Canis lupus familiaris: one gene and its partner. The protein of the gene in region 1 binds, or shares a complex with, the protein of each later gene. Links are inferred from orthologs where the notes say so. Each region holds a gene or a part of one and is shown on either strand. Other genes may lie near its edges.

Evidence for each region. The genes of interacting proteins can lie anywhere in the genome.
Region 2: the proteins of LIMS1 (region 1) and RSU1 are in contact, whole or in part, in a crystal structure (PDB 7LT9), measured with the Homo sapiens proteins. The link is inferred for Canis lupus familiaris from reciprocal best matches to the Homo sapiens genes LIMS1 and RSU1. Residues at the interface, in NP_001180417.1 of Homo sapiens: Cys252, Phe253, His254, Cys255, Asn256, Leu267, Asn268, Lys269, Ser279, Thr280, Cys281, Asn282, Thr283, Glu293, Phe294, Asp295, Met296, Lys297, Cys303, Lys306, Phe307, Pro308, Glu310, Leu311, Arg314, Leu315, Lys317, Leu318, Ala319; in NP_036557.1 of Homo sapiens: Asp21, Ser23, Asp24, Gln44, Val46, Ser48, His49, Val67, Asn69, Phe71, Asn72, His90, Asn92, Met95, Glu112, Asp115, Thr117, Tyr118, Arg137, Ala138, Tyr140, Ser142, Asp143, Ile161, Ser163, Arg165, Asp166, Glu184, His186, Gln188.

The regions. Positions count from the first base shown.
Region 1 is NC_049231.1:36,276,723-36,280,667, reverse strand, and holds the start of LIMS1 (LIM and senescent cell antigen-like-containing domain protein 1), read left to right. Parts: upstream 1-1,159; 5' UTR 1,160-1,228; coding exon 1,229-1,410; intron 1,411-3,945. UniProt on the Homo sapiens protein: Within the IPP (ILK-PINCH-PARVIN) complex, binds to F-actin, promoting F-actin bundling, a process required to generate force for actin cytoskeleton reorganization and subsequent dynamic cell adhesion events such as cell spreading and migration.
Region 2 is NC_049223.1:19,007,316-19,010,915, reverse strand, and holds the start of RSU1 (ras suppressor protein 1), read right to left. Parts: upstream 2,727-3,600; 5' UTR 2,568-2,726; intron 2,387-2,567; 5' UTR 2,384-2,386; coding exon 2,275-2,383; intron 1-2,274. UniProt on the Homo sapiens protein: Potentially plays a role in the Ras signal transduction pathway. Capable of suppressing v-Ras transformation in vitro.

The DNA of each region.
Region 1 (3,945 bases):
TATCTCATTTGTACCTACTACTTAATCTTTTCTAGTTAACTTATTTTGTTCTCCAGTGATTGTGTTTAACCATTTTCTCACATGGTAGTTGACAACATAGGCTCTAGGATGAAGCTCCCTAGATTTAAATCTTGACTCTACCACGTACTTACTGGGTTATTCAGCCTCCTTGAATCTCAGTTCCTCACCTGTAAATAATACCTACCTTATAAGGGATGCAATAATGAGCATAATGCATAGCATTATTATTTATTAGTTGTTACTTGGAAGTCCCAGCTGCATTTTGTCTGTTTGTTTGCTGTTGATTTCATGGCTCTCATCTCTAGTGTTTCTTTCTTTAGTGGTCCTTGGTACCTTAATTTTGGTTAGGAGGGCACCTTGGTGCTCAGAGGACTGTTCCTGGAGAAATGTTTTGAGCCCTTGTATTGCCCATGGCCTACATCATCACCCTCCTCTTCTGCAGTACTGCTGCAAGATGACAGCAATGTGGACTGACTATAGCAGGAATGCCAGCAGCATCTTTAACCATAATAAAGACCAGGATTAGCTGAGGGTTTCTAACTAGATGCCCAACTCTTTCCTATTTCCTCGTGTCCATTCATTGAACACATCATCCAGCTCTTGCTATGTGCCAACTGCTAGGATCAATAAGAGTCAAAAGTAGCTCCAAATTCTTAGGGACTCACAGATCCTTGGTGAAAGATAGCCATGGGCATAGCTGACAAGCATGTCCTGGGCATTAAGATGTCCCCCAGTGTGTGCCAGCTGCGTTAGCCTCAGTGGGGAGCTTGTTAGAAACAATATCTGAGGGTGTTTTACAAGAACCACAGTGTTCATGTGGATAATGCCTGGTGACAGATCCCCCAGGGCATGTGGATGTTTGTTTCTCTTGGACCCTGCCAACCAGTCCTCTATTTCTGAAGCAGTGTTTACAGACACAGTCTGCCGGGAAGGCTGCTCCAGCAAAGACTGTGTCACTGCTCTGGGGAATGTTTTCTAGAGCTTCCAGAAATGCCTCAAAACTCAGGACTGGCACAGCAAGTGACTGCTTTGCTGTTAGAGCTCTTAATATGAAGGGCCAGGAGCGACCCTGGCAAACGCAGGGCTGACGTGTGTGGGAACAGTGGGAGTGACCCTGGCAGGGAAGCAGGGGAGGCCTGGATATTGTTTCTCCGTCCCCTGCCCTGCTACTCTCTGCCCCGGGCTTGGAGCTCTCAGGCACCCTGGGATGGCGTTCCCGGGCAGGGTGCACCCTTGTGTTATCCCAGAGAATGAAGAAATCCCCCAGGCAGTCCTTAACAGTGTCCACCAGGCTAATGGCAATGAAGACGAGCGGGCTGTGTCCAAATTACAGCGCAGGCACAGTGACGTAAAGGTCTACAAGGAGTTTTGTGACTTTTATGCAAAATTGTAAGTGTCTCCTCTCCTGGAAGAGGAGCTCCTATCTTCCAGATCTAGTCTGCTTGGGCTTTGAGTTCAGTAGCCATTGATAGTTTTATTTCCTCGACTCTGAGCAGGGGCATTCCAGAGTGATGGAGGGGAGGGAGGCCTATTCCAGCAGGCGGGGAGATACACCAGATGAGATGCAGAAGTAAAGGAAAATGCTGCCTTTAAAGTAATAGTAGTAATGTCTTTGTGTTCAGTAGGTTCCTCATAATAGTACATTTTCATTATGTAGTCCAAGGGGGAGGCTTAGAGTTGCTGCTGGCAGGGTTTATAATAGAAAGATTGTATACTCTTAAACTTCCCACAGATGACAAGTTGGTTGAGGGAAACAGTAAAACTGAATTACAGACTGTTGATAAAGATACACATTTTTGTTAGGTTTAACAGCAATTTGAGGTAGGCAAACTGGATTTCTTAATATTGTCTTAAGGGGATTGAATCAATAAATAAGAATGTTGTGTATTTAGCAAATATAGGTGTGTGTGTGTGTGTGTGTGTGTGTGTATATATATATGCCATATATATGCCATTAACTCTAAAAAGTCTAATTCATGTTATTAAATGAGTTTTAGCAAACAATTTTAAAAAGTAGTGCAAAGTAGTAGTTAGACTCATGGAAGATTGTTGATCTTCCGCAAAGTCATAAGCTTAGAATTAACTGCAAATCCTCAATTTGTCAATCATGAGTTAAGGGGAATTTAACTGACCTGATTCTCTATTTCCATTAATCTATTATGTGTGGTATTATAACAGATGTCCTCTGTTTTCACGACTTATAAAGAGTTCTGTTTAAATGTAATGGGGAAAAAAAAAAAAAATAAATGTAATTGGGCAATTATAATTATACTGTAACCAAAATGCTCTGTGGACTCTTAAGATGCTTTTTGGATTTACACATTTTTTTCGTTTTGATGCCAGCAAATTTGTTTTACATACTTTTAACAGTGAGACACTTGAAAAAAAGCCCAGTGATACCAAGTTTTCTGTGTATGGTTCATCTGTAGAAGTGGATTGGGTAAATCAGTTATTACTGGCCAAATGTGAAGGTTCTGTACTAAAGGCTTCTACATATATATTTCCCAACATATATATTCTTTATCATCAATACTTCTTAGCAAAAATCCTTTTTTGAAAAATTAGCCGACTAATTATAACTAGCCAGATGACAGTTGTAACTATCATTCATGACTTCTAAAATGTAACTTTTATATATAAAAACAGTTATAAACAAATGCATAGGTCACTGTAGATTCATCATCAGTCATAACAGACTACGTTTATGGTAGAGATGTTGGTAGCAGGGGAGGCTTGCACGTGGGGATGAAGGGGAACTCGACTCCTTTTGCCTCAGTTTCACTGTAAACTTAAAACTGCTCAAAAAAACAGTCAATTGAAAGAAATATATAGTGCCAGAGGGTCAAAGACAAGAAAGGAAAGTTAATGTAAACAGTTCAGTAGGTTAGTGAGATTATTAGGGGTTCTTTCCTGAAAGTTTCCTCTAATGTAGTTTCTTTTCTTATCCTGCTTGTTATTAAAAGGAATACTTCTTCAAAAATACATATTATCTCCAAAGCTAGTTTATTTTTCCTGTGTATGAGAAACTGTCTACCTATTTTCTCACTATTTCAGTATTTGAATTAGAATATAAACAGTGTTTAGTACAATGAGTAGGAAACAGGTGACAAATGCTTTGATATTAGGACTGCTTTCCACTCTTAAGGGCAGCCCAGGTGGCTCAGCGGTTTAGTGCCGCCTTTGGCCCAAGGCGTGATCCTGGAGACCTGGAATCGAGTTCCGCATCGGGTTCCCTACGTGGAGCCTGGTTCTTCCTCTGCCTGTGTCTCTGCCTCTCTGTGTCTCTCATGAATGAATGAATGAATGAATGAATGAATAAATAAATAAATAAATAATAATAAAAAGGTATTGAGGTCTGCAGAGAGCTTTTGCTTATCAATATTTACTGAAAATACAAACTAAGAACAAAATTAAATATGTATTCATTTGAGATACATAAACTCATTATGCATTTATTCATAAGTGTTAATTTTTATGAAAAATAACTCTTTCCAAAATGAAAAAAGTTTGGTGGGAAAAGTGGCATTGAATTACATATTTTCAAATCTTCATTAATGACAGTCTAAGACAGTTTCTCAGTTCTGTTTCTGCATTTATCTTAGTGTTATATGTTGCCTTAGATATATATACAAAGAAAATAGGCCTCCCACAGATGCAGGTGGAAAAAGGACCTTTTGAACCCCTAAATGGGTCACAGTGACCCCTATACTTTGAGAACTACTTGATCTAGATAATGGAGCAGGATATTCCAGAATGTCCTTCTCTTCCTGCTTTTTGAGAGTTCTGTGAAAATTATAAGGATCTGGTGAATCTTTTGAGAGGATTCAAAATTAATAATGATGCCTTTATATTTGGGTAGCATCTTCTGGCTTTCAGAGTTATATACTTTTTAAAAATTTTTTCCTCGAAACGATATTAGGGCAG
Region 2 (3,600 bases), on another chromosome or scaffold:
CTTCCAGGCTCCAGGAGTCCAGGAGAGAGGGAATTTCAGCAGAAAGCAGCCACTCTTTGAGTCTACGCACACCACAGAAGCTGCAGAAGGTCCAATCTCCAAACTACCCAGGAAGCAGGCTTGTTCTTCCTTATGCTACTTCTCCGGGAGAACACAAGAAAGATCTTGCTTTTTACCACCTACTATTACACCGGAAACATCTTTCTCAGGAAGCAAGTGGCTATCTTTTCTCCTTCAGTAAAAGCCAAGGCTTCAAAGAGATAATGCAAGGGAACCAAAATAGCCAGGCCACAATCCTTACTTATAAATATTACATAAAGAATTCTCTTCAAAGCCAAAGGCTATGAAGTTCCTCTGCAGAGATGAGGAGCAGACAGCCATGGGGCCAAAAGTACAGTGGAGCCAGGCCTCCTGCTTGCGCTCACCATCCTTCATTACAGCAGAGCGCCCCATGATCGCCTCGACCTAGGCAGAGCCAGAAGTGGCAGCGCAAGCACACATCCAGCCTGGCTGGCGGCTGCCAACCCAGCCCCCAGAGCCTGCAGCTCTGCTGCTGCCACCAAGAAGCCATCACCACTTGGGAGAGGCCAACTCATCTCAAGAAGGTAACATGCTAATTGGTTCAAAAGCTAAAGCTCCGCGGCAGGAACCTTCCTAAGGGTTACCGAATGCAAACTGTCTAGGACTTCTAACCCCTTTCCTTTTGCAGAGATGCATCAAGAGCCCCAACCCAATCTGTCCTGGGCACAAACCACGGATTCACAGTAAATTTGATTGACTCTGCTCTCTCCATGCCAAACAAGCAATGCATCACCTTTTAGGATCTCCTGAACATCTCTCCTCCTCCTCCAATGTCACATCCTGGTCTGAATCTCAGCAACTCCATCCACCCAACATTTCTGAGCACCTACTGTATGCCAGGCCCACTACCAAGAAGGCATTTATGAGTAATGCACAGCAACATTCCCCCCCAGTCTCCAATGCGGGTGAGAGACATCTGGATTAAGAACGGATCACAATCCCGGGTAAGCAGAGCCATGAAGCAAGGCATGTCCACCTCCACAGAGGAGGGGATGACTATTTGCTTGACACGAAAAGAGAAGTTTTCACACGGGCGATGGCATCTGGGCTGATTCTTGACAGATAAGTAAAAGGATCTGGGGGAAAAAGAGAGGAAGAAAACAATACTTCTAAGGCACAAAGACCTGAAAGACACTGCCCTGGTTCAAGAAGGGCAATCCGTTCAGTATGGCGGGAAGAACAAACGCATGGATGAGATAGGAACTAAGGTAGGCTTTGGCCAGATTCACAAAGGCTCCGCATGTCACGCCAAAGAACTTGGAGCATCACTGTTGCTAATGAACAACCAGAAGTGTTTAAGGGAGAAGGTCCAAACTGAGGCCACACTCGGCCTGAAGAAGTGTTTTATTTCACCTGCACTTTTCAGTACTGGAATTAGTTGCCAATGTGTAAAAAATTAAGAAATTTCACGTAAAAACCTAAACTCTTGCCTTCCTGAAAACAACAACTATGGCAACACTAGGCCAACATCCCCAGGTGGTGACAACCGTGTGCACGTGCGCAGCAGGTTCGGCAGCTGCCCCTCTTCAGATGGGATACCCACGATGAAGTTCATGACCATCCTCAGCTGGCCCCAAAAGACATCTGAGTTTGCAATCTCTGGCTTAACGGAGTGAGTTACAGGCTAAGATATGTTGCAGAAAAATAACCTTAGAAAGCAACACAGTGACTGAAGCACAGGGTCAGCAAACCTGAAGGCAAGAGGCTAAAAGTTAGGGGATACATCACAGTAGCACGAGGAGGTAACAAAAGCCTCAACTAAGAATAAAGAGCCAGGAAAGGGCAAGGAGTGGAGGAGACATGCTTAACAAACTCCAGCAGCCATAAGAGGAGTTAATCATGGAACTTCTGTGTGGCGATTGCTCAAGGGTCAGTGACTATATTAGGAGAAAACAAGCCTGATGCAAAAGTGATTTTCGATTTAAAATAGAGTGGGTGTGCAGTAAACTGCGCGGGAAATCTTCTCAAATACCAGCTACTGCCTGGGTGACTCCTACCCCGGGCTCTGAGGCTCGTCTTCCAGCCGGGCCGGGCCAGGTCCCCGGCTGCAAACTTTCTGAGCTAAGCTCTCCGCGGGCGAGGGTTGCACGCAGGGGTGCAGAGCCCTGGAAGCTGTGGAGCCCGGCGGCCGGCGGCTCCCCGGGAAGCGCGCACAGCCTGCAGGCCCCGGGAGGGCGCGGCCCCCGCACTTACACAGGCCGTTGACGTCCAGCATGTTGGAGATGCCCCGGTCACTCATGTCCACTTCCGGCTGGTTCTTCTCCCGGCTCTCCTCCACCAACTTTTTCAGGGACTTGGACATGTTCTGGAGCAAACGACAACAGAGGAGGTGGGCGACGGCCGGGGGCGGGGGTTGGGTTGGGGGGGGCCGGGGGTTGGGGGGGCTCGGCGCGGGCTGGCCCCGGGCGGGGGGCGGGGGGCGGGGGGCGTCCGCACCGCTCCGGGCGCTCAGGGAGGCGAGCCCGGGTGCCACGCCGCACACTCACCGCGGAGCGCGGCGCCGACCCGGCGGGCGAGGGAAGCACAGGCGTCCGCCTCGCGCGCTGCAGCAGCAACAGATGCGCCGGCTCGGAGCGACCGCGGACGGGAACGGGAACGGGGACCGCGCCCTGTCCCGGAGCTCCGCGCAGGCGCACAGCCCGCCGCCCTGCGCTCCACGCCCCGCCCGCGCCTGGCGGTTCCCAAATTAGGAGACCAGTTCACTAGACGCGGCTCCAGGGTGAGGCCCCGCCCACAAGGAACGTGTACCGCGGCCGGCCAATCACGTCCGCCGCCTGGCCTCGAGGCTCCGTCCCGTCCCGCCCCGAGGTTAGCCCGTCCCCCTGGAATGCGCCCGGGGCTGTCGTTCCGAGAGGACCGGGCTGGGCGCACGCGCACCAGCGTCGGCGCAGGCGCAGTTTGTGCGCCGAAGCGCGGAGAGCTGTGGGCGGAAGCGGGAACCTGGGGGCGGGACCGTGGGGAGAGGGTGGTCGCTCAACTTGGGAACCCGGGAAGCGAGAAGTTAGTTGCTCCTCGTTGTCCTGTCTCTTTAGTTGTGGTTCAGTGTTCAGAGGTCAGTACTCTGATCCCTTCCCCACAGTCGTTCCTTAGGCTGTATCATGAGCTGCTCGAATGCAAGAACGGCACAGTGGTCTGTGTTCCCGGCACCCAGCTAGATTCCTAGCACCCAGCTGGATTCCCAGCACCCAGGTAGGGATTGCCAGCACCCAGCTGGGGGTTCCTAGCACCCAGCAGGGGATTGCTAGCACCCATCTAGATTCCTAGCACCCAGCTGGGGATTCCTAGCACCCAGCTAGGGATTGCCAGCACCCAGCTGGGGATTGCTAGCACCCATCTAGATTCCTAGCACCCAGCTGGATTGCCAGCACCCAGCTAGGGATTGCCAGCACCCAGCTGGGGATTGCTAGCACCCAGCTAGATTCCTAGCACCCAGATGGATTTCTAGCACCCAGCTAGGGATTGCCAGCACCCAGCTAGGGATTGCTAGCACTGTTCTAGTGATTCCTAGCACCTAGCTGG